Mus musculus: one gene and its partners. The protein of the gene in region 3 purifies or fractionates together with the protein of the main gene of each other region. This does not show direct contact. Links are inferred from orthologs where the notes say so. Each region holds a gene or a part of one and is shown on either strand. Other genes may lie near its edges.

The links.
Region 1: the proteins of Cdc25a (region 3) and Ywhae purify together in Homo sapiens (affinity purification with mass spectrometry; 4 studies listed by BioGRID and IntAct, with this or other methods). This does not show direct contact. The link is inferred for Mus musculus from reciprocal best matches to the Homo sapiens genes CDC25A and YWHAE.
Region 2: the proteins of Cdc25a (region 3) and Skp1 purify together in Homo sapiens (affinity purification with western blotting; 6 studies listed by BioGRID and IntAct, with this or other methods). This does not show direct contact. The link is inferred for Mus musculus from reciprocal best matches to the Homo sapiens genes CDC25A and SKP1.
Region 4: the proteins of Cdc25a (region 3) and Ccnb1 purify together in Homo sapiens (affinity purification with mass spectrometry; 3 studies listed by BioGRID, with this or other methods). This does not show direct contact. The link is inferred for Mus musculus from reciprocal best matches to the Homo sapiens genes CDC25A and CCNB1.

Annotation. Positions count from the first base shown.
Region 1 is NC_000077.6:75,729,970-75,738,622, reverse strand, and holds the start of Ywhae (14-3-3 protein epsilon), read right to left. Parts: upstream 5,737-8,653; 5' UTR 5,596-5,736; coding exon 5,532-5,595; intron 1-5,531. UniProt on the Homo sapiens protein: Adapter protein implicated in the regulation of a large spectrum of both general and specialized signaling pathways. Binds to a large number of partners, usually by recognition of a phosphoserine or phosphothreonine motif.
Region 2 is NC_000077.6:52,242,085-52,249,256, reverse strand, and holds the end of Skp1 (S-phase kinase-associated protein 1), read right to left. Parts: intron 6,671-7,172; coding exon 6,597-6,670; intron 5,643-6,596; coding exon 5,499-5,642; intron 4,277-5,498; coding exon 4,136-4,276; intron 3,273-4,135; coding exon 3,237-3,272; 3' UTR 2,399-3,236; downstream 1-2,398. UniProt on the Homo sapiens protein: Essential component of the SCF (SKP1-CUL1-F-box protein) ubiquitin ligase complex, which mediates the ubiquitination of proteins involved in cell cycle progression, signal transduction and transcription.
Region 3 is NC_000075.6:109,883,827-109,891,816, reverse strand, and holds part of Cdc25a (M-phase inducer phosphatase 1), read right to left. Parts: intron 7,699-7,990; coding exon 7,624-7,698; intron 7,499-7,623; coding exon of another isoform or gene 7,475-7,498; coding exon 7,307-7,474; intron 4,570-7,306; coding exon 4,471-4,569; intron 2,944-4,470; coding exon 2,881-2,943; intron 2,786-2,880; coding exon 2,687-2,785; intron 2,175-2,686; exon of another isoform or gene 2,107-2,174; coding exon 1,976-2,106; intron 73-1,975; coding exon 1-72. UniProt on the Homo sapiens protein: Tyrosine protein phosphatase which functions as a dosage-dependent inducer of mitotic progression. Directly dephosphorylates CDK1 and stimulates its kinase activity. Also dephosphorylates CDK2 in complex with cyclin-E, in vitro.
Region 4 is NC_000079.6:100,776,568-100,783,681, forward strand, and holds the end of Ccnb1 (G2/mitotic-specific cyclin-B1), read right to left. Parts: intron 7,081-7,114; coding exon 6,898-7,080; intron 5,217-6,897; coding exon 5,058-5,216; intron 4,828-5,057; coding exon 4,591-4,827; intron 4,350-4,590; coding exon 4,209-4,349; intron 3,566-4,208; coding exon 3,455-3,565; intron 3,219-3,454; coding exon 3,111-3,218; 3' UTR 2,172-3,110; downstream 1-2,171. UniProt on the Homo sapiens protein: Essential for the control of the cell cycle at the G2/M (mitosis) transition.

The DNA of each region.
Region 1 (8,653 bases), on a different chromosome or scaffold from region 3:
AGAACACACTGAATGCTGAGTCTATAGATCTGTACCAGCACCCTATCATGTACCCCAATAACTTTTCTGAGTGTTAAGGAAGGAGAGGTGAGATTCTGTTGGTCAATATTGTTATGGAAGGCCTGGAAGCCTGTGCTGAGTGTGCTTTTACTCCCTCCCCCAGGCAGTGAATGAGCACAGTCACTCACTCATCACTTAGTTAACATACTCAAGCCCTATTTCTACTTTAAGACAAAGACTGGTTTAATTGCAAAATTTACATCCTCCTGCCTCAAACTCCTACCAGAATTAGTCATGAGCCCTAGTGCCCTTCTACTAGGTGAAGAGGTTGGCTCAGTGAGTAAGAGCATTTGTTCTTGCAGAAGACCCAGGTTTGACTCCCAGCACACACACATGGTCATGGCTCACAACTACCTATAAGTCCAGTTCCAGGGATCCAAAATCCTCTTCTGACTTCTGCAGGCATCAGACATTCATGCATGTGGTACAAAGACATACTGGAAGGCAAAACCCTCATACAGAAAATAAAAGCAGTTCTTAATTTAAGGAAGTGAAAAGAGGACCTGAGAGACAGCTCTGGTGAAGACAAACACCTGTGTCAGGAATGACCACTGGAGTTCACTCTCCAGGACCTACTTGGTGGAAAGTTTTCCATCGATTGTCCTTTGACCTCCACACACGTGCCACAGCACACAACACACACATGCACAGCCAGGCATAGTGACCCACACCTTTGATTCCAGCACTCAGGATATAAAGGCAGGTGGAACTCTGTGAGCTGAGCTCAAGGCCAGCCTGGTCTACAGACTGAGTTCCAGGACAGTCAGAGCTACAGAGTGAGACCATGTCAAATAAAAATTTAAACAACAACAACAAAAACAAAAAACAAAACAAAAAAAAAAACACAGAAAAACGCACACACATCATACAAATGAAATTTAAAATGAGCATCCTTAGAGAACATCCACAGTAGTAAAAAAATCACTTCAAGTAACAGTGATTTATCAACTCATAGTATCCCCAAACTGTGTAACACAAAAGAACAATGCTTTACAAAAATCTAATGCACAGTATCCCTTTATTTTGGGACAGTATCATTTAACCTCAAATTCACTACACACAGATGCAGTTAACCTTAAATCCTAGATTCTTGTCCTTTTAAGCACTGGGATTACAGTATGTACCACCCACCTTGTAAAGAGCATCCCTTGCAAACAAAGGCAGGGGTAGACGTGACTGTGAGCACATTTAATCCCAGCACTTGGGAGGCACAGAAAGAGGGCCTCCTGAGTTCCAGGCCAATATTCAGAGACCCTGTCTGTGAGTGAGTGAGTGAGTGAGTGAGTGAGTGAGTATGTGTTCCCCATCCTTCCCTAACTAGTACAGTATGTTTTAGTAATGAGATTTTTGGTGTTTTAAAACAGCTCTCAAGCCAATGACTCAGAACAGACGAATTTCTGGTATTTCAGTATTCAGAGTGACAACCCAAGTGGTGGGGAGCAGGGATCTCAACAACACGCCACACCCCATAGAACCAATTCTTTTCTTTTCTAGCTTAGAACTCAGACATCTGCCTGCATCTGCTTCCTGAGTGCAGAGACTGAAGGTATGTGTCATCCCACCTGGCTAATTTGTCGTTTTCAGATAGGATTTCATAACTCAGGCTAACCTGGAACTTGAGATCCTCTTGCCTTGTCTTCTAAGTGTAGTTTAAAGTAGTGTGCCACCATTCTAGACCCCACTGAGCTAATCTGAGCACGATGAAGTTTAGGAAAGACAAAAGCAGAACCACCACACGAGTCAAATATTACATATGTTGACCACTCCGATCCCAGAAAATAGGGGGAAAAACCTCCAATTTTGAACAGGCCAAACTCAGCTGCTTGGGAGGCTGTCACTGGAGGGTGGTAATTTCAAGGCCAGTTCAAGGCTATCCTAGGTAAATTAGTGAGACCTTGTCTCAAAATACAGATGGATCTAGTTCCATGGTAGATCACTTGCCTAGGATGTACAAGGCCCTCAGTTCAATTCCTAGCTATGCCCCACTTCCTTAACTTTTCTATACTCATGTGTTTTAAATGTATGAAAACTTATTTGTTTGACTATGGTAACCTGATTAATATGGCTACAAATATACAAAACCCTATTTTCTTAAGACTACTGACTTGTTAAATTACTAAACTAAACTGGGCATATTGCCACACTCCCCAGCACTCATGAGGCAGGAGGAAGGTTTCTGAGTTTGAGGCCAGGCTGGTCTACAGTGAATTCTGGTTGAGCCAGGGGCTCTTCAGAGACAACCTGTCTCAATGAATGAATGAATGAGCAGGAGAAAGAGAGAGGGAATACTAACAATTAAAATGAACAGTCGTAGCCTCAAGCTTTAAGTTTTCCTATATAAACTCCTAAACAGTTCTTTAAACTGTCCTAAAGCTGTTCTTTAAAACGGCTTCTCACCTCCTTTTCTAAGACCATTAAATAATCTATATAAATTGTTTTCTATTACCTATGGGGAAAGTAAAAGATAATTCAGGCACCAGGCTCCACCCAGCATGCAAAATACAAGAGAAACCTATGACAGCAGCAAGAAGCAGGCAATTAGGGGCTGGTGAGATGGCTCAGTGGGTAAGAGCACCCGACTGCTCTTCCGAAGGTCCAGAGTTCAAATCCCAGCAACCACATGGTGGCTCACAACCATCCATAACGAGATCTGACTCCCTCTTCTGGAGTGTCTGAAGACAGCTACAATGTACTTCCATATAATAAATAAATATTTAAAAATAAATAAATAAATAAATAAAAAGAAAAAAACTGTTGACACACTTTAAAAAAAAAAAGAGCAGGCAATTAAAAGCCAACATTTACATAGTATCTAAAACTCAGGGTTGCGATGCATTCTTTCACTACCCTTGGCATTTTATTTACTAAGTGGTTACTACTATAATCAGTGACTATAATCAATTTTTGTTACACTAATAAAAATGAATTACCAGTCAGTAGGAGTGATCACTTTCTGTGACTGCCTTCTTCCTCTCCCTTTCTACTGATTTCCTTTCTTAGGCCAAATCACAGGAGTGCTTCCAGTTTCCTTCCCTCATTAAGTACAGTCACCACATGGCTTTTCTAGAACACTGTACTCAATAGCCAACAAGGCCAAGCTTTGCTCAAAAATTCTCATCATTCAAACCCCAAGTATGATTTAAAAATTGTCATTTATTTGGAAGCTACAATCATGTTTGCAAATCCCTTTTTAAAATGACTTTTAGAAGCAAATCAGAAAGCTTCCCCTCATACCTCGTTTGGGGGGGAGGGAGGGTTATTATATTTACATAAAGCCTAAGTCACCAGTCTTCAAATTAATTTCATGCTTCCTCCCAAGGACACAGATTAAGGGGGGGACCTCTTCTGGGATCGAGAGGGGAAACCTCCAGTACTCTCCCGGGACAGACAAGCTCACCTGGAGCTGCACTCCTATTTCCCCATCCCACCTCCTCCAGCTCCCAACAGGAGCCCAACTCACTACAAACTGAAATCTGCAAGACAAAATGTAGTTCAGCGTCTTTCCTAAATTGGAGGTTTTGAGGTCTGCTGTTCTACTTTCCAAATGCTGGGCCTGTGACTTTGGCAAAGACTAAGGACTGGTGGTTCAAAAGCTTCCACAGGAGAAACTGCCATTCAAGGAAAAGGGTCTGACCTAACATTTGAAAAAGCAAATGTTTTAACTAACATGGAAAAAACATGAGGAACACTTAATTCCAATCTTGTCTCATTGGACCCTACCACTTCCCAAACATTGAACTCACAGGACCTAGCCTTAGTATTCATGCCTTTAATCTCAGCACACAGGGAGGCGGAGACGGATCTCTGAGTTCAGGACCAGTATGGTCTACATAGTGTTTCAGAACAGCCAGAACTACACCTGCAATTAATTAAATCACAGGAACCATGTGTGTGACTTTTCATTTTTAAATACTAGTTTAATGGCCTATTGCCTAACTCAAATATCTAGTTACACTTCACAAACACAGTAGATATGTCAATGAAATTCTCAGAAAAAAAAAAAAAAAAAAAAAAAAAAACTAGACTGCAATTAGCAGGAGCTAAGTTGAGAATCTAGCATGTACTAGGGTCTAGTCTCCATCACCTGCAGGTGGGGTGTGTGTGTGTCAAATTAACAGAAGAGTAACTATTGAAATTTGTGTGTGTGTGTGTACACACACACACACACATATACATATATATAAAACCATTCTCTTAAAATGGATAAAACAGAGCTGTGGTGTAGCACAGTATTTGAGCACTTGTCTTGCTTGCATGCAATCCTGGGTTTGAGCCCCAATCATGTAACAATGAAATCATAAAACAGAAAAACTACAATCTTCTACATTCCTAATTCAAACTCCCCAAGCCTCAACTGAGTGCTCAAAATAGGTAAAGCTCCCCAAGCCAAGGAAGAGCATGCATTCCACCCGAACTTGGGTTGTCAACCCAAAGTGCTACTAAACATTATTTGAATTAACCATTTCTCAGCAGGTCTTTCCATACTTCATAATGACGAGTGTGAATAGTACAGTCGTCAATTTTACAAACGGGTAAACTGAGGCACTGACTCTGCAAAGGGAAATTCGTACTAAGGAATCCTGGCAAGCCTGGTCTCCTGTATTCTAGCCATCAGAACTCCGTGCCTATGAAGGATGGGGACAGAAGGGGGAAAAAAAAAACCCGCAGCAACTTTAGGATATCCTGGGTAAGAACAAACGGGGTAGGAGTGAGGTTCTGCACCTCCCCGGAAGAAGGCGAGGCTAAAAAGCCCCCCAAACTCTCAACTCCAAGGTGTGTCGGCCCAAAGGAAGAAATCCAATCGCAGCATCTCAGCTCGCCTCCACCCAAGGAGGGAGGCTCTGCAGTGATTTCCAAACACTCCACCCTCACCAGAAGACTCCTCTCCACCGCCGGCCCCGAGAAGCCGTCCGTTCCAGAGGCTTCTCCTTTGTGAGGCTCCACGGCCGCCGCCCCACACTGGGCCTCAGGGGAAAAGCCACCGCCCCCACCCGCCATATTTCCCCGAAAGGCGCCTAGCGCTACAGCTCCTCGATGCCGCCCTCTCCCGAGCGACCGGTACCGTTCCTCACATCGCCCCACCCAAGTGTCCTCCTCCACACCCCGCCGCGGTTCCCGAGGGCTCCCGTGGGGATCGCACGCCGGGAGCCGGCACCCGCCATCTCCTCCCCCCTCCCCCGCCCGGGGACTCGCCCTCCCCCTCCAGCCGCCATTTTACAACCAACTCCTCCACCCTCCGCCCCGGCCTGCTGGCGGGCGAGCGCCTGCAAGCTAAGGACACCGGAGGGGTCAAATCCCTAGGCCCGGGGACTCCCACCGCGCCGGGAGCCCGCAGGCCTCGGCCTGCTTCCCGACCCACGTCCCAAGCCGGGCTCCGAGACGGCTCCGCCATTTTGTCTCCGGTTCCCGGCCTCTGTGGGCGGCGGCGGAGGGTCCGAGACTTCCAGCCCCCCGACACCCCCCCGACTCACCGTCGTATCGCTCGGCCTGCTCTGCCAGCTTCGCCTGGTACACCAGATCCTCCCGATCATCCATTGCGGCAGCGGCTCCGGCAGGGTCTGCGCGACGGATGGAAGCGGATAGCGTCTCCGACTCTCTCAGCTTCTCGCTCCGCGTCCGAGCAGGAAAAATGGCGGCGCCTCAATCCGGGACTTCCGCCTGCGCACGCGGACAACTGCTCAGCTCTATGGCAACCGCTCCCTGGCAACTGGCGCGGGGGGGGGGGGGGGCGGATCCCGGAGTTCGGCGCCAGAAAAGGCTGGAACCAGCGCGACAGACGCCCCTCCTCCGTCGGCACAGCGGGCGGCCCTGTGGCGAGGCGGGAACTGCGACTGCGACGGAGAACGGCCCCTGGAGCGGCTGGAGGCGAGGTCGGCCTAGACTGCGGGAGGGGAGTTAGCCAGAAGCCCGTGCGGGGCGACCGCGGGCTGGCCTGTGGGGGACAGAGCGACAGGCTTGATGGGTTCTTGCTACGGCAGGCCTTCCTCGTTGAAGATCAACCGGCCCTGTGCATTCTAGCACATTTTTCTCATCCAATTTAAAGAATTGACAAGGACAAGAAGGGAAAGCTCGAGTTTTCACGCATCATCATCTCCCTTGCTTCCATACTTTAAGCATTTTCTTCTCCCCTCCAGCCATATTTTATCTCTTTGGCCTATCGTAGATAGGACTTTTGTTTAAAATCTCTGGTTTTGCTTCAAGCATAGGTGAGTGTGTTTAATTCCAACACTAGTGAGGTAGAGGCGCAAGGATCGAGTTTGGATCAAGTCCCATCTACAAAGCAAATTCCAGGTCAGCCAGGGCTACATTGTGAAACCCCCATCTCAAAAAAAAAAAAAAGGAAAGAAAGAAAAAAGAAAAAGTGGTCAATCTCAGCTAGTTAAGGGAAACCCTCACTCGAGGGAAAAAGGAGACATAGTGGCTTGCCTCACTTGGAGTGCAAGGTGCACCTGAGGTGTGTAAGGGCAAATTGACATTGATGAGTTAGAAATAAATAATCCTCCATGGGGATTGCTTCACTTGCAATGGCCACGCCTAGTCTGCTTCCTTATGGATTTTCAACATCTTATACTCAATATCAGCTTGCTGCTGAGCCATGCAGAAAAAGGGCCTCAAAATGAGTGTGAAATCAAAAGGTTGGGATCAAGGCCTGAGGTCACACGCCCAGAGGTTTGCATCTTAGTCTGTGAACGGACAGGAATTGTTTTGTCCAAACGCTGGAGACTGACCCCCACAGCTTCCACCGTGTGTTTTGCCACTGAGTTATAGTCCTATCTGGGCAAGCTGTTTTGATGATTCTGAGTGGAAGGTGACATCGTCATAATTGTACTTAAGAAAAGTATTCCGTACTTACTGAAGCGGTGGTTCACGCCTGTAATTCCAGCACTGTGGAAGCAGAGACAAGGATTGCCACAAGTTCCAGGCCATCCTGGACTAAAAATACCCTACCTCGAAACACAAACACAAAAAGAAAGGAGCTGGTGGTGAGAGTTTTGGTTTCTTCAAAAACCCAGCTATGGTCTGTGAATGTGTTTGCGTTTTAATCCCAGGCGTGGGATAAGAGGCGGCTTCGAAGCAGGTGACTAGGATTTACCTTGTGCACTAGCAGGGCTGTGGTCTTGCCAGCTGCGGATAGTTTATGTTTGGATTTCTGGAGACTCTGGAGAGGAGATAAATAAATGCCAGAGCCCAGAGGGGAACAGGGGCACTCCAAAGAAGAAGGCTGCTGCTCCTGGTTGCTTTTGTTGCAGTTTGTCAAATGGCCATAAGCAAAGAGACAAGAAGTTAGAGATACCCTGACGACAAAGATTAGACTTGCCCCAAGGACCCCGATGCCCCCAGTGAGCAGGAAGTAGCCTTTAGAGGTCTATATTCCCTTTCCCCTTCTTTCTCTCCTACCTAGTGTTGGGGGGGGGGGGGTTGGAAGGGGAGGTAGAGATATAAAAACCCAGTAAAATAGACAAAAAATATGCCAACAGGAGAAAGAAAACATTGCATAGCAGTAATGAACAAGAATGGTAAATTATCATATTACAAAATATAAGCAAAAGTAATCGATACTAGCCTCTGGACAGAGAGGAAAGGACAGACAAGAATAGCATCACGGAGAGGCCACAGGACTTTGTAGCTGACCAGCCATGTGAAATAAAACTTGACTTCCCACCTTCCCACCCTGTCAAAGGAATGAGCAACAGTACCAGTAACATAAAAGAAATACAGAGCTGAATATGGTAACTCACACTTATAATCCCAGCACTGAGAGGCTGAGGCAGGAGGATTGCCATAAGCTTGAGGCCAGCCTTGGTTACATAGTTCCAGTTCCAGGCCAGCCCCAGAAAAAGGATAAGACTATGTCTTTAAAGCAAACAGGAAGGCCAGGGATAGTGGCACACTTGGGAGGAAAAGCAGTTGGACCTCTTGAGTTTCAGGCCCAGCCACAGAGCAAGTTTCAGGACACCCAGTGCTACAGTGTGAGACCCTGCCTCAAAAAATACACACAAAAACCATGACAATAATAAAAAAAACAAACAGGAGTCCAGGAAGAGTTGCTGGCTAAGATAGAGAGAAAAACATGAACTCTTCTTTAGCACGTGCTGGTTCTGAGATTCCCCAAGCATTAGGCAGGTAGAATAGCAAACATGGAGTTGAAAGGGGGCTGATAAGCCTGGCATGGTGGTATACCTGTAATCCCAGCACTGAAGACAATGGGACTGGAAGATTGGGAGTTCAAGGCCACTCTCAGCTACACATCAAGTACAAGCCCTCCTGCCTTCCTAGTGCAGTGAATTAAGGTGTGTCCCACCACCTACTTTGTTCTTTGAGACTGACTCTCTTTCTGGGACGTGGAACTCTCAGTAGCCTAGGATGGCTGCCCAAATAAACCCCAGAGTTCTACTTGTCTCCACTCTCTGCTGCAAAGTTCACATGTGAGTTCTGCAGGCTGAACTTGCACTATCTACCCAGCCTCTCTAATAAACATTTTGTTAACACACATTACACAGAATGGCATTTTGGCATTTTTGTGCAGGGACACAGTGTTTAGGTCCTGTCACCCCCTTGCCTTCTCATCCCTCACACTGGCTGATCTCTTCCT
Region 2 (7,172 bases), on a different chromosome or scaffold from region 3:
AGATCTATTCATCTGAATCCTATAATTATTTTCCATTTGTCTAAAAGAATAGGAGTCATGTTAGCAGAATTCAGCTTCTTGGCAAATACAAGTTTGATATGAGTCAATATAGTATTTTATATAGTAAAAGATATCTGAGAGCCATCAGGAAAGAGGACTAGGCTATAGTTTCCAAAGTCAAGGAGAGAACACAAACTCAGCATACCTCCGCTCATTTTACCTTTTAAATACAGATAGTGATGTCCCTACTCCTACTGCCATTCTCACAAAATCCTGGGCTTACTAAATCTCAAGGCAGCATGACATCAATGCTAACACTCCCCCATCCCACACACACCCCAATTCCAGCCCTTAGAGATGCTAGGGTAAGACTTCTATGTCCATGAATTGAGATCAGCCTGGGCCATATAGCAAGACCTGGCATTTCCACTCCTGGTCTCAAAAGGCTCACCCACAGGTTTTTCCTAGAAATTGACACTTGCTTTATAAACACGATATGTAACAATAATCCTAGAGCTTTAGTAAAGACTTGGGTTTGTCCTGACACAAGCAGGGTTACAAAGCTGGGTAAATGTGTTATAACAGTAACTGGCAAGTGAAATACTCCAGCTAACATTGGACTATCATCTTCCTTCTTTCCTAAACCAACAAAATGGGGTGGGGGGAAGGCTTAAATTTCTTCAGAAAGCCAGATATTTTATACTTTTTGATCTATTTTCATATATATATTTGGGGGGGGGGGGTGTTTTGTTTTCCTAGACTAGTCTCTTTGTGTAACCTTGCTGTCCTGGAACTAGTTCTATAGACTAGGCTGTCCATGAACTCAAGAGAACCCCACTGTCTCTGCCTCCTGATTAAAGGCATGTGTCACCACCATCTGGCTATTTTAAAATTTTTATTAGTGTGTGTGTGAGTGGGTGGGGGTGTGTTTTTGTGTCATGCATGCAAGTAGCAGAGCACCCACAGGAGTTAGTTTTCTCCTTCCATTCTGTAGGTTCCCAAGATCAAACTCAGTTTCATCAGTCTTGGGGGCAAGTGCTTTCATCTACTCAGCCATCTCATAGGCCCTATTTATTTTTGCTTTTCACAACAAGGTTTCTCTGTGTAGCTGTGGCTATCCTAGAACTCCCTTTGTAGACCAGGTTGGCCTCAAACTTGAAAGATATGCCTGCCCCTGACTTCTGAGTTCTGGAAGGCATGTGCCACCACTACTTTGCTGCATTTTTAATATTTTAACAAAGGTTTCAAATTCAAATGTAAAGACCATCTTACAAAGATGGCAGAACCAGACTAGAACAAGATGACAGGTATGTTATTTTATCTATGTATTGAAAATAAATGGGAACAAAAAATGGTGGTGTGCATCTCAAATTCCCAATGCTCTCAAAGATGAGGCAAGAGGACCCTACCCCGAGTCAATGCCAGCCTAGACATACATAGTTAAACCTAATCTGAGAATAAAGAAAGTGGGGATTAAAAGGCAACATTTAAGGCTTTGCTAGGGAAGAGCCAAGTTGCTGTGTAAAGTGATAATCTAGGCCAGCATGCTTCACAGCAACTGTAACGAGAATGTAAAGTAACGGGATTATCATTAGCTAGCAAAAACACAAAATAAATGGGAGCCTCAGTAGGAAAAGGCAGTGTCTAGCAATGGGGCTCAGAGGGAGAGCACTTAATGTGTGCAAAGCTCTTAGTGTTCAATGTCCAGCATTACAAAATAAAGGGGAAAATCTACCATAAAGGAAGCTAAAAATAGTGGCTGAGCAGTTACGTCTTAAGAACTAATCACTGGCCAGGCAGTTTGAGGCCAGCCTGGTCTACAGAGTAACCCTGCCTCAAAAAACCAAATCACCGGGTATGGTGGCGCACGCCTTTACTTCCAGCACTCGGGAGGCAGAGGCAGGCGGATTTCTGAGTTCGAGGCCAGCCTGGTCCAGAGTGAGTTCCAGGACAGCCAGGGCTACACAGAGAAACCCTGTCTCAAACCCCCACCCTCCACCCCCTCAAAAAAACAAAAAACAACAAAAAAAACCCACTTGAATTTTTTTTTCTTTTGCTTTTGAAGACAGGGTTTCTCTTTGTAGCCTGGGCTTTCTAGAATTTCCTTTGTAAACCAGGCTGACCTTACAAGTGCTGGGATTAAAAAAGATGTGGGTACTATCTACAACCATTCAGCAAGATTCTCTACAATTAAAAAATAACCAAATGGGCTGGCTAGATGGCTCAGAGGGTAAGAGATCATGAGTGCAAATCCCAGCAACCACATAGTTGCTCACAACCATCTGTAATGAGACCTGATGCCTTCTTCTGGTGTGTCTGAAGATAGCTACAGTGTTCTTATGTATAATAAACAAATCTTTAAAAAAAAAAAACCTTAATTCATTAAGAAACACATTTACATCCACAAAAGCAACTGTTTACTACCTATTGTACTACTTTTTATTGAAAAGCATCTTGCACTTAGGATGGCTGTTTTCTGAGTTTTACCATACACTTTAATGTTAAAAGGTTAAATTAATTTTTACATGCAAGTAGTGTTTCTCCACCTGGGAACAATGATGATAAAAAGATGACATACCACATGAAGTAAGTGTCTTTTTTAATTGAAAAGCTAACAAATTGTTGAGTTACAGTTCCCACTCCAAAACCACAAACTGGGTAGTAAACTAAATCTCTAGGCAACATATTCAAAGCTGAGAAGATTAAAAAAAAAAAAAAGAAAAAAAAAAAGAAAAAACAAGGCCTCAGATCCAATTAAGAGAGCCCAGCTGCACTCAAGCTTACCAGCAGCATAGAGGTTGGAAGACACCCACATGGTTAACTTCAAGCTGCCCTATTCCAGTTTCCGATTCATGAACAAGTATCATGTTTTGTTAATTCTATTTCAGCATACTTTTCTTAAGTTGTTTTATTTACAATGTCAACTTTGAAAGGCTCACTGAAGTTAACTGGACAATGAACTAGAGGCAGAAATCACTTTACAGAAAGGGAAAGCCCAAAATGCCACTTTCCGCAGAGAACCCATAGTTCGGTTTTATTCAGAGTAATGGGGGGAAAAGGAAACTTCTGCTCACAGAAGAAACTCAGCCACAGGTCTGATCTGGACTGGAACTACACATGCAGTGAAGACAAGGCGATGTTTGTCTACTGATCTCTAATATTAACAATTATAAACAGAGCAGTGCAACTAGCATTTGGAACAACCCTTCTAGTGTTACAGTGACAGGCACAGCAGTTCACTTCTCTTCACACCATTGGTTCTCTTTGCGTACCTAGAAGAGACAGAAGGTATACCTTGAGTTGTCTTTCCTGAGATGGCTAAGCACTACCTATACTGTATCATCAATAGCCTATGTCATATGAGAAAGGAAAATGGAAAGCTGGGAAAATATTAGGCTAAGTAAAAGCAGACCTGATGACTAACTTTCTAACATTGAACAGCAGATGTCAACTGAAAGCTCTAGTCCCACTTTCTAAGCTGGCAAGCACACCCAACTCATCCACTCTTCTATTATCAGGCCCTGATTTCTAAAGCCAACAGTTTACAACCTATACAAATATCACAGGTTTAAAAAAAAAAAGAATCTGATAATGAAGAACCTCTTTAGTTCAAAATCCATTTTTCTTATGTTTCTAAAAGAACAGTAGCAAGCTGAACATAACTCAGGTTAAAACTGTTATCCTGGAGGACATAATTCCTATCCCACCCCCACCCACAGCTCACAACCACCTGTAGCTCCAACTTCAAGAAATCTGATGCTCTCTTCTGGGCACCATGATCATACTCATGAATTAAAATTAAAGTCTTCAAGAACTCTCTCACCTAACTGCTTAGATCCAGAGACAGATGCACATTATGCCTTTGTATCAAGACTTTTGTTGTTATTAGTTCTTTTGTTCTCTAAGACAGGTTTCTCTATGTAGCCCTGGAACTCACAATCTACCTCAGCTTCCCAAGTACTGGGAGATAAAGGGCATTTGCCACCACGCCCCACTGGTATCAAGGAAATTTTAAAGGTGTTCTCGGGTAAGCAGCACAAGACCAAGACTTTCTGATGGGCTTTTTTTCTTGTCTTGGTATTGGGTTCCAGTTTCTTTTTAAAAAGCAATTGAAGATGGGTTGTGTGCTACCTACCTGGGCCTCTTCCTCTTCAGTAAAGTCATTTTTGATATTGAAGGTTTTACGAATCTCCTCAGGAGTTTTCCCCTTAATCATATTGGCCACAGTCTTGCATGTGACATCAAGCAAACCTTTGATGTCTAAGTAGTTTGCAGCCTGTAATTAATAGCAGGTTTTTTAGTCATATGTACTGAATATTTAAGGTTAACAATTTACATCAAATTGAGCTTAAAATGATACCCCGTTTAATGAACTCTTATGAAATTCTCTGCCCTGTAATACTGATTATTTTCAATGTAGTTTCACCTTTCACTAGCTTTCTTCTTTGGTTTTTGGGTTTTTTGTTGTTGTTTCAAGACAGGGTTTCTCTGTGTAGCCCTGGCCGTCCTCGAACTCAGAAATCCACCTGCGTCTGCCTCCCCAGTGCTGGGATTAAAGGCAGGTGTGCGGCACCACTGCCCGGCACTAGCTTTCTTCTTATACACTGCTTTAGCTTTATCCTAAATTTTAAGTTGTTTTATTTAAATTCAATTAGAAATACTAATGTAAAATTTTCCTTTGGCTTAAAAATAAATTACTGAATTTTCAAATATTCACAATTTTTCCCCAGGTTTTACTTTATTTTGAGACAAGGCCTCACTGCGCGTAGCCCTGAGTATCTTAAAACATGCTATGTAGATCAGGCTGGTCTCAAACTCAGAGCTCTGCCCCTATATTCTATATTAAAGGTATGCACCACTGCACCCAGCTTCAAACATTTTTCATGCTTCTACCACTGAAGTCAGAGAACATACTTTGTATAACTTGAATACTTTTACATCTGGGACTTGTATGGCCCAGAACTTAGTCTATCCTGACAAGAATTTATATGGCCATAATTAAATATAACATCCTACATATAAATTAAGACAAGCTGTTCAGCAGTGTTGCTGACCTGGTTTTCTGTCCACTTGTTATAATTACTGAGAAGCAACACTGGAGTTTCTATGCCTGCACAACTGTGTGCTTCATTCCTCTTCTCTTTTTGAAGTTCTGCTTCTAGGTAGATGTCTATGACAATTGTTCTTCACGAATCAATCCCCTTTATCATTATGAAAATAACCCTCTTAACTTCAAAATACAACCAGCTTTCTTCTGATTTGCATTAGCATACTCTTTTCCATTTTCACACAGGCAGCAAAAAATAGTTTTGCTTTATCTGACCTGCTATTTCTACCCCTCAAAGGTGTTTGGATCATTACATTTAATTTAACTACTAAAATATATTACATCGCGTGAGTACAGAGAATATCCACAGTTGAAGATCAATGCACCTAGCCAATTCAATCCTTTAATAGGTAAAGGCTCTGCAACAGAACTACTTTATACATTAACATACCAGAATAAGTTCAAAAAGTGTTCCTTGGTCAACTTTCAGGAATTCTTGGTCCCAAACAGGAATATCATCTGTCCGCTTTTCTTTGTTTTCATCATCCTCAGGAGGAGGAGGGTCATCTTTGTGGTGGGTGCACCACTGAATGACCTACAACAACAAATACTTCTGGCATTCTATGACAAGACTTTCAGTTCAATGCTGGGGGCATCACTACACTGTGATGAGAACTCGCTAAGGAAGTCTAACAAAAAGTTAAGAGTCAATTTTTAAAAATATTTTAATTATCGTGTGTTCTCTCTCTCTCTCTGCCCCCACTCCCTCCCTCTCTCCCTTCTCTCCTCATCCCGTCCCACCCCTCGCTGGTAAGATAGCTCAGTCAGTAAGAGCACTTGTTGAACAAGCATAAGGATCCCATTTTGAATCCTTAGTATCTATATAAAAATATTGAGACAGCATGCACTTGCAACTCCTAGTGTTGGTGGTATTGGGGTGCTTGCTGGTTAACAGTCTAGCTCTAGATTCAGGAAATAGAGAAGGAATGTATCAGGACACCTAATGTCTTCCTCAGGCTTCAGGTACACAACCAAAACACATGTACACATACCAAATTACTCATTTATACAAACAAACAACAGAATGACTATAATCTAAGTTCATTAAGAAGTCTAGACAGGTATGGTGACACATGCTTCCAATTCAGGCACCCACAAGGCAACAGTAGAATTTCTTCCAAGTTCAAAGCCAGCCTGAGCTATCAAACAAGACCCTTATTTTAAAAAAACAAACCAAGCCAGGAGGTGGTGCCTCACATCTTTAATATCACTACTCAGAGGCAAGTCAATCTCTGATCTCAAGGCCAGCCTGGTCTTCAGAGTGAGTTCCAGAACAGCCAGGGCTATACAGAGAAACCTTGTCTCGAAAACAAAAATGAATAAACAAAAACAAACCAAAGAAATAAAACAAACTCCACCCCCCCCCCCAAAGATCTTACCTAGGTTGGAGCTTAGTTTACTAACAGATCATATGTTAAGCATGTTTCAGACCCTAAATTCAATTCCCCAGTACCAAAATAAGAAAAACAAAAACAAAATCATCGCTTACCTTCTTTAGAATTGCTGCATTAACATTTGGTAAAGGAACAGGATCATCATCTCCTTCATCATCCATTCCCAAATCTAAGAAAACCAGGAGAGAAAAGTCATTGTTTCTCAACTCCATAACAACATACGACTTCTATTGCTGTGATAAAATACCAAAAGCAACTGGAGAGAAAATAATCATGTTCACCTTATATATACTTCAGGTAACAGCCTGCCAAGACAGGAACTGAACCAGGGCAGGAATCTGAAGGCAAGAACTAAAACAGAAGTCACTGCTAGCTGCCTTGCTCTTCTGCCTGGTCAGCCAGCTTTCTTATACCACTCTGGACTACCTGCCTACAGATGAGAGGACCCACGATGGGTTAGGCCTTCCCACAATCATTCATCAAGAAAATGCCCATAGACCAATCTAATGGAGACATTTTCTCAACTGAGGTTCCTTTTTTACATATGACCCTAGTTTGTGTCAAGCTGACCTAAAACTAGCTAGTATGGATGGGCATGGGGGCACATTCTTGTTGGTAATTTAATGAAGTATGGACAGCAACAACCTGCAAAAACTGAATCCTAGTCTCCT
Region 3 (7,990 bases):
ACATACAGCTCAGGGTAGTGGAGCTTGGGGTACTCATTGCCGAGCCTATCTCTCTCTCTCACATATCGGCACCTAGTGAAAAGAAGTGAAGGACACAGTCGGGTCACCTCCTTCAGGCTAGGGGACAGGACACAACACAGGTGGTGTCCTGGCACTCCTTCCACCTGCCTGCTGCCGACACCATCTGCAGCAATAGCTTAGAGCCAGCGTGCTCTCCATTCTGTCCATGGTCCCCTCATTCTGCTCCTCTCACCCAAGTAGAAGTCTTCCTTCTTGTGCCTTTAAACAGCCGAGGCCTTCTACTTCCCCGGTAGCTACTAGAACCCCGTGTCTCTCTGCACTCTGCCTGAGCGGCACGAAAGCCACAGTTTTCAGTGTCCTACTGTGTGCCGCCTCACATCTCATTCACCCCACTCGTCTCCTGTCCTCTATCTGGGAGCTTCCACTCATTGACCTCATTTTGAAGGACTTGTGAACATTTTGTACAATTCTAAGTTTTTAAAATATGCTTGTCTGCCTCCTGTCTACTCTGAAATGTCCCTCCAGGAAGCTAGACTTTTGGTTTGCTATGTTGTTAGTGTTAAATAACAATAAGAATTTGAGAGTGGATGCAAGCCCCCACTATCTCCATTCATGTGTGAATATTCAGTCCTACTCAAATGGGTGGGTTGTTTTCTTTTTTGTTGTTGTTGTTTGGGTGACAGGATCTCACTATGTCACTGTAATGAGATCCTGTAGTAGTCTAGACTGACCTTGAATCTGAGTGCTGAAATTAAAGGCATGCGCCATCATACCTGCCCTTGAACCCAGGACTTCACAAATACTAGAGAAGTGCTCTATCTGATATGAGCCACACTCCTAGCCTAACAGTACGTTAGTGTGCTTCTTATAGGATCGCATGCAGCTCAGGCTGGCTTTACACTTCTGATCCTCTGCCTTAGCTTCCCCAGGGCTGGAACCAGACATGCACCACCATGCCAGATGCTGTTTTAGAGTATCGCCAGCACATCAACATCTGCAGAGGAAGCTCTCCAGACTTTTCTGCCCTTTGCTTAAGGAACAACTGCTTGGACGTTATGAGACTAGTCGGTAGAACGCAATACAGTGGGGGAAACTGGGAGAGCCGAAGTAAAAATCAATATAAAGGACCAACAAGAGTGAGTCATTTGGAAAGAGGCTGAACCCATGGTGATACTACAAAGTTACAACTGGTATCACCGTAAGACTGAACTGGAGAAGCCTGAAAATCATTTGCAATCAAAACGTAAAGGTTAAGTTCATCAACTACATTCAAGAAATATGTCTGGGCTGGGTGGTAGTGTCACAGGCCTCTATACCCAGCACCCAGGAGGCAATGAAGATGGATCTTTGGGTTGGAGGCTAGCATCATCTACATGTCCTGAGTTCCAGAACATTTAGGACTCAACAGAGAAACACTACCTTGAACCCCTTCTCCACCAAGAAAGGAGGAAAAATGTTTGGGAGAGCAAGATGGGTAAAAGCTGCTCAGAAATCCACACAGCAGAGCACTCCCCCAAGCTGACTTCTGAACTCCATATACACACTATGGTAGGGCACTTTGCGCGTGCACAAAATAAAAAAAAGTATAAAATAAATACTAATCGTAAAAATGTCTATTTGGCCGGGTGCCTAAATCCCTGAGGCCAGCCAGCCTATTCTACAGACTGAGTTCCAGAATAGCCAGGGTTACACAGTGAAACCCTTTTTTGAAGGGGAAAAAAAAAGGCTGTTTGAAAGACAAATCAGTGGACAGAAGTCCAACTAAGGGAAACTATGTTATAATAGGAATTATAGTTTCCACAAAAGCCATGTATACACATAATGTGTAGACTGGAGCAGCACTGGAGCGCCTTGTGACTTTGTGAAAGGTGCCTGTGTTAGGGTTGTGACGTGTGCCCTGCTCTCCACTGTCAGGAAGCCTCCGCCCCAAAGCCTTATTCTCTGTGGTACTCACATTCGAGGGCCTCTTTCAGAGGAAAACTCACAGTGGAACACGACAATGACACGCTTGCCATCAGTAGGCACAATAGGGTTCTTAAGTAAGAAGTCTTCAACCTCTTCTTCCATGTGCAGATTCACGGCACCCTGTGGAGACAGCAGACACTGAGCACCTGCTAAGCCACACCCAGGAGTCTGTAGGTCCCACGGCCCAGCAGCGCAGTAGACCACCTGCCTGTTATGTCAGTGAGGCTTTCTCTGTAGGCCATTTCTAAATGTCACTTCATAAAGTCAGAAGCTAATCCCCACTCACATTTAAATCCTGCTTTTTATGGTAATACTAAACAGGCATGACCAGCTCCTTCCTTCTAGAAATCTGGTGTTCCAACATGTCCCTTCCCAAGGTAGGCAGCCTGACTCAACAGCAGAGCCTTGGTACAGATACCAGGGCCATGCTGCCAAACTGGCTTCTTTTACTCAGGAGCTCTGGGGTGCTCAAACATTCATATTTAAATATCCCAAATGCTGTGGAACTCTTTGTGGCCCCACTGAATAGCTTAGACATCAGGGATGCCACCTAGAAATGCCCTGAAACAGGACAGTATGAGGGAGTGAAGTGGAACTGGTGGGAATATTCATTCAGTTTGTGTATATTGGCCGTCAGCCAAGAGATGTCACTATCCCACCTTCTAAGACTCCCAAGATAATAAGTCTCAAGAATCCAAACCTTGATGTGACCTCCTTCATACTCATATGGGTATCGGCAGTCAATGATAACAAACTCTTTAATGAGACCGGCAAACTTGCCATTCAAAACAGATGCCATCTATGAAGAGAGAGGGAAGAGGGTGTCATTTGCTGGCTGTCAGGTAACGAGATTCCAACTCCCCAAATGCAGTGGGTTCCAAAAGCCTGACTTACAATTTCTGGAGAAATATATTTCAAATCCTGATGCTTCCCAGAGACTGTATTAAAGAGATAACCCTTTAGAAAATGAAAAAAAGGAAACAGAAAATATTTAGAGGAACGTGAAAGCTTGCAAATATTAAGGTTTATTCTGCTGCCTGTGTGGTAGGAAGCAGCTTGAAAAACAAACCGAGAAACAAACATAAGTCAATACTATATGCTAATTACCTTTCTATGCACTTAATCAACATCTAGATATTTAATTATTATTGTTTAAGGAGATATGTTTTCATTATGTAGAGCAGTCCAGCTCCAGACTCCGAGGTGAGCCTGCTCCTGGGGTAAGTTAGTAAATGATTATGCTCACCCTCTGGGTCTGGTCTTACCACCTAAGGAGTCCCGAGTCTAGATCTGAACACAGAAACCACAGGTCATTTCCTTTCTCCACTGGCTTTTCTTTTGTTACTGTTTTGTTTTGTTTTGTTTTTCAAGACAGGGTTTCTCTATGTATCCTCAGACACAGAGACCTGCCTGCCGTTGGAATGCTGAGATTAAAGGTGTGCAGTAGCTGCAGCACCGCCCGGCACCTTCCCCCACCCCCCTCCTGTTTTTTTATCAGGAATTCTCATCTTAGTATGAGAAATCACTTAAATGCAGAGAGGACAGTCAGGCCGTTGTGGTACAAGTTTAGTCCTAGCATTAGGGGTTGGGAGGAGGCAGAGGCAGGCGATCTCTGAGTTCAAAGCCAGTAGGGACTACAACGAGTTCCAGGACAGTCAGGACTGCATAGAGGAACTGTGTCTGGAACAGCAAACACACACGCAGTGAGGAGATCAGGTGTGACTCAGGAATATAATAACAGCATTTGGGAGGAGGATATAAGTTCAAGAGCATCCCTAGTTTGGAGTTTGGAGCCAACTTAGAATATGAGGTGGTTCTGTAACAAATAAAACCACAAAGACAGTGGGTGTGGTACTGTAGGCTGAGGCAGTAGAACTAGGTTAATTTGGGTAAAATAGTGAGGCCACGCCTTGGAAAGCGAGACAACTTGCTCATGTGATGGGCACCTGGTTGCTCAGGATGGAGTTAGGTAGTGAGAATGGAAGAACATCTTGGCCCAAGCCTAACAAGGACGAACACCTCAGTGCTACTCAGTGCTGTTTATCCCCCTCAAAAACTCCTTGTTCTTCCTTGTTTTGTTCTTTTTAGACAGGGTCTCTCTCTATATAGCCCTGGTCCTTGAAGTTACTGTATAGACCAGGCTGGCTTCAGTCTGTCTAGCTCTGCCTTACAAATGCTAAGATTAAAGATGTGGGCCATCATGGCTAGCTGTACTGTACCATAGCTCAGGCTCATGCTTTCCCAGACACACTGGTCAGAGTGAAGGTAACCGTACAGGGAACCACCGAGCCAGCAAGTCTCATGACCACCACGTGCCTCATCCTGACAAGTTCAGCTGAGCTGATTGTTCTTTAGCTTTTACTTTTAAAACTGCTGCCTTGGCGGCACCCAGGGGCTGCCTTGAGGAAGGAAGGAGCAAGGTAAGTGGGGTTCTAGCACCCCTTGCCAACACCACCGGACTAGAGTGACTCTGCTTGCAGTTACCTTGGAGAAATCTCCTATAAGGTCTCTTGGGTCACTGTCCAAAATGTTCTCAATGGTTCCTTTGGGGGAAGACATCAGGGATAGAGACTGGGATGGAAGCTGTAAGAAATCCAAGGTAGAGAATGAGACCAGGGTTTTGATTAAAAGCTCTACAATTATTTACCTTTACCATGCCAAGAAAAGGAAACTGAAATATGAATGCCTATAGTAAGTAAAAGATTCTGTACTGTGACTTAAGCAGAGGAAGGATAGCTCCATGCTATCTAGTAACTAGTTGAATTTCCCTGAAACCCACGAATCTCTGGTTGGCCTGGAACTTGATAATGTAGATCAGGATAGTCTCAAACTCAAAGAGTGCACAGAGATCACCGGCATGCCGACACACCAACCAGCACCTGTCCTCTTTTACTGTTCGCAATGAGAACTGTTGAGGTGATACCAAGACAGGCGTGAGATACAATCCCAGAGGCAGGAGGACTGCCACAATGTTGAGCCTAGCCAGGGCTATATGGCAAGAATCTGCCTTAAAAATAAAAATTAAAAAACCAAAAACCAAATCAAAACCTGAACCTGACACTGTAACAGAAGATCATTGTCATGTATCTCACAAAATAACACATAATTACTTTATCTCAGTAGAGTTCCTGAACTTCTGATAAGGAAGGTTTTTGTAAGAAAACAAGATTTGAGTTGTAAAGATCATTTGGATGGCTTCTAACTAAACAGCCTTCTGTTGTGATTCTGCTCTACAGCTACACAAGGAACCACTGTGTAAGCACGCCTGAGAACTGTAATCTAGAGGCAACAGGCGTAAGATTAGAACTTTGAACTATTTCTTTTTCTCTTCCAAGGACAGCAGTAAACCTTTCAAGGCACGATGACGTCAGTGAGGTGCTCAGAGGGTAAGAGTACTTGAATGTGCCTGACAGTCCTGGGATCCCATGGTGGAGAGAGAACCAAGGCTGCACAGTTGTCCTCTGACCCCACACATGCCATAGCACACACAGGACTTGCACCACAACAGTATTTAAAAGAAGGGCAGAGGGGAGTGGGCACATTAAGATTCTTTCTCAAGCCCAGTCTGTCAGGTTAGAGAGACCCAGACAGCACTCTTTGATGCCCCCTTCCTTAAATAGGAAATTAGAGAGGCAGATAGATCTATTCTTTGTTTAGCAATATCAAGAAGCTGGAGCCATTCTATTTTATAGATAGGTTCTTGTGCACCATGGCACAGGCACAGGCACACACACACACACACACAACAAAATTTCAAACCAAAACAAAAACCTGGGTATGGCTTGTGATTCTAGCACAAGGGAGGTAGAGACAGAGGAAAAGTTCTCTGACCTCTAAATGTGCACTGTGGTATTTATATCCCTACCTCTTGATAAATGAATGGCATAGGAAAGTAAGAAAGAGCAGAGATGGAGCAATAGGCACAATGCCCTGGGTTCAATCCTCAGCACCAAGCAAACTTGTCCCCCCAAACACAAACCCCACACCCTAAAAAACAAACAAAACCCCACATAATGCGGGCTGAAGAGATGGCTCAAGAACTCTTTGTTGTCTCCAGTACTACATGGTGGATTACACTGTTAGTACTTGCAGTTCTAGGGGATCCATGCCTTCCCACCCTGTGGGCACCAGAATTGCACGTTGTACAGACACATATGCAGACAACAATCCTACACACAGTAACAGAAGAACCAACTCCCCCAAGTCCATATACCATCCGATCACTAGAAAGCTATGGTGGTTTCAATGGATGTACCCACAGTTGGAGCATTAATATGGGGTCCCAATTGATGGCACTGCTTAGGGGACTAGGAGAAGTGGTGGCGTAGCCAGAGGAAGTTGCCACTGGGCTTCTTTTCTTTTTCTCTTCTTTGTGCTTTGAGACAGAGTTTCTCTGTGTAGCTCTGGCTGCCCTGGAACTCTGCTGTAGACCAGGCTGGGCTCAAACTCAGAGATTTACTTTCCTCTGCTCCACCATGTCCAGCCTTGGACACCTAATCCTAATGCCACCCCCAGGTCACTCTGCTTTTTCTGCTCCCATGCCTTTCTGCCATGCTTTCCCTCAGTGATGGTAATACCCTTAAGCCCCACACCCCTTTCTGTAACTTGCCTTAGCTGTGGCGTGTTACCACAGCAATCAGAATGAAGCTAATACAAACACCTGAAATGAATAGCACATTACCAACCACTACTCAGAAACAGAAGGAATGCAGCTCACACCCTGCTACTGAGCACGCCATTCTGGAAAATGATCTGGCAGCACCTGCAAGACTGAATGAACCATACACCTGGTCCATGGCACAGCAATTCTACCCCTATGAGATTATCTAGGGGATAAAGAGGAGTACTGGACTCTATAGACCAGTAGGAACCTCTAGACATGACAAGTGACTCAAGTTCCTTAACAAGACAGACAGAATGCAGGATGGTGGTGCACACCTGTAATCCAAGCACCAGGAGGATCACAAGTTCCAGGCCAGCCCGAAACAAGACTCTGCCTCAAAAGCCAAAGCAAAATAAAAACCTAGCAACAGATGACACAATCTTCTAAGTAAAAACAAACAGAAGCAAATAAAAGTAGCAAGGCTTGCTGGGCAGTGGTGGTGCACTCCTTTAATCCCAGCGTGTGGGAAGCAGAGGCAGTTGGATCTGAGTTCAAGGCCAACCTGGGCAGCCACAGATATACAGAGAAACCCTGTTCAGAAAAAAACAAAACAAAAGAAAAGAGCAGTAAGGCTTAGTAAGGACAGGACAAGCAAGTTGAGACGTTTAGAGCCACGACTGTTGTTAGGACTCTGGATCAAGGGAGAAGGTAACTAACCTGGGCGGGCTCCGGAACATCCGCCTTCGCCTTCACAGGGCTGGGCACACTCTTCCTCCTCTTTGTACCCCGAGGAGGCTCCTCGTGAGACCGGTCTGCTCTCTTCAACACCGCCCGAGTGCTGGAGCCGCACGGGGAAGGGGAGTCAAACAGCCCGCAACGATCGGCCTTAGGGTCAGAGACAGGTCCAACCTTGGATTAAAATCCAACCACTTGAATGGCAGTTAGTCTAAAACCCAGCCCCAAGGTCAACATAGTTAAGGAGTACTTTGTTTAGTGGCTCAGCTCCTCAGAACTCCACATGCCGAGTAACTTACAAGGTTTGCAGGTCTCCTCATGACAAGGGGAGCTGTCCAGAGGCTTGCCATGCATGATGGGGTCTCCTCATCATTCTAGAGCAAGAGAAAACTGCTTTTAAATACATCTAGCAGAGGGGCTAGGAAGAAGAAAAAGACCCAGCAACCAAATGTTTTGCAGGTAACTCTCCTAAGAAATGCCAGATAAGCCTAGATAAGAAGTTTTGTGTTTTGTTTTGGAGACAGAGTCTTACTGTGTTTGGCTAGCATCCTGAATGTTAAAATTTCTGGCATGGAACACCAGAGCAGGCCTGTTTCTTCTTGGTACAAGGGATTGATTGAGCCTAAGGCCTTGTACACTCCCCTAAGCACATGCTATATCTTAGTT
Region 4 (7,114 bases), on a different chromosome or scaffold from region 3:
AAATGAATGCCTCAACCAGGAGGCAGTGCTGGCACATGCTCTCCAGACTTTACCATGCCACTAACACGCCCTTTCAGTTCCTGGCACGGGTACTCCATCCGACTATCAGTGAAAATTCTATCAGAAACTGGAAAGGGTATCTGCAATCCTAGAGCAGGAGGTTGGGCAAAAATGTGATGAGTTCGAGGCCAGCCTAGGATACACAGTGAGTATGAGACAGAGAACATGTCAAGATCCTGTCAGAGGGTTGGGATTAGAAATCACGTTGAGAATTGGGTGCCCCCAGTGTCGCTGACTTGACACTTGAGCCTTGACGTTGAGAGGCGAAAATGCTGTACATGAGCCTTGCGTGGTCACTTGAGGGATAAGTCCTTGCAGAACAAACAAAACAGCAGCTCTTTGAAGGGGAGGGCTGTGGTCCTTCATAGCTTTTGTCCAAGTTGATCATACCATGCTTATTGTTAACACAGTCCTGTTATCAAAGTACTACAGCTGCCATTTGTCTTTTTAAAGATTCATTTATTTATGTATATGAGTACACCGTAGCTGTACAGATAGTTGTGAGCCTTCATCTGGTTGTTGGGAAATCAGTTTAGGACCTCTGCTCACTCCAGTCAGCCCCCACCCCTCACTCAGTCCCTGCTTGCTCCAGCCCCAAAGATTTACTATTATAAATAAGTACACTGTAGCTGTCTTCAGTTGAACCAGATCTTCAGTCGAACCAGAAGGTGTCAGACCTCATTACAGGTGGTTGTGAGCCACCATGTGGGTGCTGAGATTCGAACTCAGGACTTTCAGGAAGAGCAGTCAGCATTATCTGCTGAGCCACCTCACCAGCTGTTAAGTATATGTCAAGTTGTTACAAAATCACGTGAGAGGCCTGAATTAGAATCCCTAGCACCATCTCCGTATCACAGAAGCAAAGCAGAGGCAGGAAGAGTAAAACATTCCAGCATTTAGGAGGGAGAAGAAGGATTGAGGTCCAGGCCACCTGGAGAGGCAGCTCACACAAGCACCCAATTCGGAATGTTTATCTTTATGTCCACAGAAAACCACAATCAAATGCAGAACAAGCCCTGCCCCAGCCCAGCTCATGTTATCAACAACGCCTGCACTGAAGAACACTGGAGAGGAGGCACAGATATTAGGCGCCAGGGGACTAGAAAGACTGCTTGAAATTCTGTCTCCTCAATGTCAGGGAAGCTACACCCATGAAGTTTCAACACTAAACAAGCCTAAATCAACCTTCAGCAAGGGTGATGCTAACACAGAAGGGGAAAGTCATGGGGCCCAATCAGGACAACTACAGTGGGCAGTGCTGAAGTTATATACATACAAGGACCACTACTGAGCAGGTTATATGTTTATGAACATATGCACAACAATAAAAGCCAAAGGCCATGAACTTCAGAATTCCAGGTGAGGGTGGGTTGAAGAAAGATAAAGGGAAATTATCAAAAATCAAAAAAGTAGTTGATTTTTAAAGTGAAAACCCCAGCACGAGGGTAAGGACCCTCAGGATTATACAGTGAAGGCCCAACAAGAGGTTTCTAAGTGCTGGGCGTGGTGGCGCACGCCTTTAATCCCAGCACTCAGGAGGCAGAGGCAGGTGGACTTCTGAGTTTGAGGCCAGCCTGGTCTACAGAGTGAGCTCCAGGACAGCCAGGGCTACAGAGAAACCCTGTCTCGAAAAACCAAAAAAAAAAAAAGTTTCCAAGTAACAAGATACACGCAGATGCACTCGTTAAGCCGTATGTAGCCACAGAAACTCTTAGAACTCAGTTTTAAAAATTCCTATCATGGGCTGGACAATTGGCCCAGTGGTTAAGAGCACTGGCTGTTCTTCCAGAAAACCTGGGTTCAATTCCCAGTAGGCAAATGTCAGTTTATAACTGTAACTCCAGTTCCAGGGGATTGGACATCCTTTTTTGAAAAATATATTAAAAAAGAGAGAGAAAAAAAGAAAAGAAAAAAAAAGTCCTATTATTACAGGGGAATAACACCATTTAGATCAGATATGTACACTTAAAAACCTGGGCTGGATTACAAGGTGTGCACACTTGGGAGTTGGCCGACCTTGGCTGAAAATCGAAAACTATGTTTATTAGCAACATAAAGTCTCCATATTGCAAAGACAACATAAACAGTCAAAAGGGCAAATGAGAATTGTGAAAGCTTTCCACCAATAAATTTTATTCAACTTGATATCAGATGTATAAATTAAAACAGCAAATGAGACAGGATTCTTTTCCAGGTGGCATTACAAGACAGGAGTGGCGCCTTGGTATGGTGGCAGCCACACCCATCTGGCTGTCAGAATTCAAAGCACACCCCTGGAAGAGCTACTATGAATGAAGCCAAGCAAGACATTAAACATCATTTAAGAACACTGTGGAGGGCACTGAGAGAATGCACTTGAATCCCACCGAGGGAATGACTATGTTACACACAGTTTGTTCACACTAGGAAATGCAATATAGGCATTGAAAGGAATGCTGATAGGAATACTGTTGATAAAATGAACCCATATAAAAATATCTCCTTGGGAGTATATGCATGATTATATCTATACAGGATATACAAGAATACACCCTTATCTGTTGATAGTGAGACTTGGGGGCAAATTCTTTTTAAAACACACCTTTAATTTTGAACATCCTATTTTCCAATTAAGAACAAATAAATAATTACATAAAAAAAGATACTTGGTTTCAGATCTGAAAGTTGACAAACCAAGAGACAGTGGTTAAAGGTGGCAACCACTGGAAAATGGAACAAAGGACTAGCTGGTAGATTTAGAGTTTAAACTAGAGTGAGGCAGAAGACATGATGATATAAGGACACACAGTGAAGGATGTATATAGACATATAGGCTACAGATATATACATTAGTTGGATCCACTGTTAAAACTAGATGCAGTTTTTAATATACTCCTAAATTCGACAACTTCCGTTAGCCTAAACTCAGAAGCAACAACATTCAAATGAGTTAAGCTATGTAAAATGAGAAGTCACAACCTTTATTGAAGAGCAAGTAAACACGGTAGGTATCCTATGTACAGGCGGCACATGGTGCCAACTGCATCTGCAGATGTAGCAGTCTATTGGAGTTATGCCTTTGTCACGGCCTTAGACAAATTCTGAACTAGTGTACAGTTCAGCTGTGCCAGCGTGCTGATCTTAGCATGCTTAGATGCTGCATACTTGTTCTTGACAGTCTGTAAGAGAAAAGCACTGCAATCAGGAAGAAGAAAAACATTGCCATTGGGGGTGTGTTGGGGGGGGGGTGGGGAAGAGAAGTAGAAACAATGTAATTATATTTTAACTTAAAAAATGAAATTAAACAACCTTTCTATAGAGTCCTGGCTGGCTCTAAACTCAAAACTTGCCTCTTCCTGCCTTGCATGGTGGGACTATAGGCCATAAACCAGCCTTAAATTTTCAATGGACTCACCATGTGCTTTGTGAGGCCACAGTTCACCATGACTACATTCTTAGCCAGGTGCTGCATAACAGGAAGCAGGGAGTCTTCACTGTAGGATAGGTAGTGCTGCAGAGTTGGTGTCTAAGAGAACAAAAACATGCTTAAAACACCGGCGGCTTTTATAAACTTTAAAAAAAAAAAGATTTATTTATTATTATGTATAAGTACACTGTAGCTGTCTTTAGACACACCAGAAGAGGGCGCCAGTTCTCAGTATGGATGGCTGTGAGCCACCACGTGGTTGCTGGGATTTGAACTCGGGACCTTCGGAAGAGCAGTCAGTCAGTGTGCTCTTACCCACTGAGCCATCTCACCAGCCCTCCTTTTATAAACTTTCTAGATGCTATTTAAGAGTCTGGTGGGTGAACAGTGTGATTACACATGAAACAAGATCTTTTTGCCCACATATACTTCTGGAAGAGCTTGAGCTCTAAGCACAATATTGTAACTGTGGCTTCTCTATCCCAAGGTCAGGGTAGCACCCTGTCCGTACAAGAGAAATGCACCTCCAAGGATGTGGACAGGTTTCTTAGATCACTTGGTGTGGCTTCCTCTCTCCAAAGGGTGTTATCCTAAAGACTGAAGTTAGCTACAGCACTGAGATGGCAGCGCAGCATTTGGGTTACCATTTATGGTCACACTCCTTCCATATTAGGACCCAGGAGAGTGATCTCAACACCAAGTGGTCCGTTCCAATGCTTGGTAGTTTGGTGAGACAGCTTACCCATTCACCGTTGTCAAGAATTTTCAGCGCTAAGCAGAAAGCCCCAGCTGCAATTTGAGAAGGAGCAAAATGCACCATGTCGTAGTCCAGCATGGAGAGCTCCATGAGGTATTTGGCCAAAGTGTGCTGCTCGACGTCAACCTGGAACAGACCACACCACTCTAAGCCTTCAGCACTAACTTAAAAAGCCCTGCCCTGCCGGGACTACAAACTCTCAAAGACAACTGTCCCCAGAAGGTCTTAAAAGTAACCACGTAATATGTAGTTAGGTCAGCAGCCTTATTTTTAAATAATGTATAATGTCTAATGTATTTGACATTTTAAGTTAGCAGCTGTGTTTTTTCTCATGTGGCAAAACAAACATTTCTCGAGGAATCTGTACCTCTCCGACTTTAGATGCTCTACGGAGGAAGTGCAGAGGCAGAGGGCGACCCAGGCTGAAGTTCAGAACTCTGAGAATCTTCATCTCCATCTGTCTGATCTGGTGCTTAGTGTACGTGTTGTTAGTCACAAAGGCGAAGTCACCTATTTCTGGAGGGTACATCTCCTCATATTTGCTTGCAATAAACATGGCCGTTACACCGACCAGCTGTAGCATCTTCTTGGGCACACAACTGTTCTGCAATGGCAAGTTCAATCAACAGAATGCACTGAAACATCTCAATTGATGACACCTTACCTCCCAAGAAAGGATTCAGTTTCAGGCTAGGTATAATAATAGCTCAGCAGTTAAGGTACCTGCCTACCATGTATGGGACCCGAGGTTCAACCTTAAGTATCCACCTCCCCTCCTCCAAGATTCTCATAGAGCTACAACTGGATAACTCTCAATTACTGAATGACACATACCTGCATGAACCGATCAATAATGGACACAGTCATGTACATGGTCTCCTGAAGCAGCCTAAATTTCATCTGAACCTGTATTAGCCAGTCAATGAGGATAGCTCTCATGTTTCCAGTCACTTCACGACCCTGTAGGTATTTTGGTCTAACTGACTGCTCTTCCTACAAAAGAAAATGTCAGTTATTTTAGAAACATCACAACATCTACCATCGGTGTCCATAAAGACCAGTTAACAAACATCAAACAAACAGCTCAGGGCAGAAGTTCACCAAGAAAGCAAGGTTTGCAAAGTCATAGTAGGCTCTTCAGACTGTTGACAGAGCGACCATCTGGTTAGCCAGAACTATTGCAGCTCACGCCCTGTACCCATCATCACCTCAGATCTTTTCACTCACAACTAAGTTTTGTGATGCAGAAAAAATAAATTGTAGATCTGCTGCTCCATGTTATAAACTCAAAACACCCACACAGTGTAACACCAAACCAAGTTCTGAGCGTTAGAACACAAAGCTTTAGCAGTATTAACAAGAATAAAAACGAAGACAGCTAGTTTCGAACCAGATTATCTTACTGAAGACTACTTTAGAAAATACAGATGTGGGCTGGAGAGATGGCTGCTCTTCCAGAGGTCCTGAGTTCAAATCCCAGCAACCACATGGTGGCTCACAACCATCCATAATGAGATCTGACGCACCTTCTGGTGTGTCAGAAGACAGCTACTGTGTACTCATAAACATAAAATAAGTAAATCTTTAAAAGAAAAATACAGATGTTAACAAAGAATGGGGTATGAGCAACACGGCTTCATGGGCTAAGGCCTGCTGACCCCAGGACTGACATAAAGAAAGGCAGAAGGAGAACCTACTCTTGTTTTTTGCTTTTCAAGACAGTGTTTCTTTGTGTAACTCTGGCTGTCCTGGAACTCACTTTGTAGACCTGGCTGGCCTCTAGCTCAGAGGTCTGCCTCCCTTAGCCTCCTCAGTGCAGGGATTAAAGGCATGTGCTGCTGCCATTCTTCAAGGGAACCAACTCTTCAAAGCTGTCCTTTGAACCCCTCATGTGCCCACCCACACAAGGCTTGAAAACACTATTACAAAAGAGATAAAAACCCAACAGCAAAAAAACCAATGACAACCTGAGAAGACAAAGCTAGGATATAGTTCGGTGGTAAAGTGCTTGCTTAGCATGCACAAGGTCCTGTATTCTGTCCCTAGTACTGGGGGGACAGGGAGGGTTTAAACCTGATAAATCTACATTTAGCTATAGAATGCCTTGTTTAGAAAGAGAAAAGGGCAAGTTCCATTAATAGAAAGCTTTCCAAGTAGGCGAAGGTGATGAAACCAACTTCCATCGTTCTGACAAGTACATGCACACTGACAAAGAATGCCTGGTGTGGGACAGCCACCGTCCTTTAGCCATCTATCCCCATCTTAGACCCACAAGGATAAGACTTTCACATTTGTGACATGCCTATTTTAGGAAGGTTATCTCCCTATATAGAAATTTTATATTCAAAGTGGCAAGTCCACTTCATGGGGTTAATGACTTTATTTTTTAGTGTTTCAAAACAATAGTGTTTCTGATTCTAACAAATAGAGTGCTATTTGTTGTTTAAAAAAAATGTCGTGTGCTGTTGATAAAAATCTTTGATAGTTGAGTTGGTGTCACATCACTTTAATCCCAGCATTCTGTGAGTTCCAGGCTAACTGATCTATGTATATATATATGAAAAACACAAAAAAATAAACCAAGTGTATATTGCACCACCTTTAAGTCCAGGACCAGGAATATTGATCCAGGAAGCTGCAGTGAGAGAAGGCAGACTGCAATGACAATACTGACCTCCAGTTGTCGGAGATAAGCATAGATATCTTTCACATATTCACTACAGAGGTTTGGGTCAGCCCCATCATCTGCGTCTACGTCACTCACTGCAAGGATTACATCAGAGAAAGCCTGACACAGATACTCTTCTGCAGGCGCACATCCAGATGTTTCCATCGGGCTTGGAGAGGGATTATCAACCTTAAAAAAGAGAGGCTCCGTGAAACAGGCTACA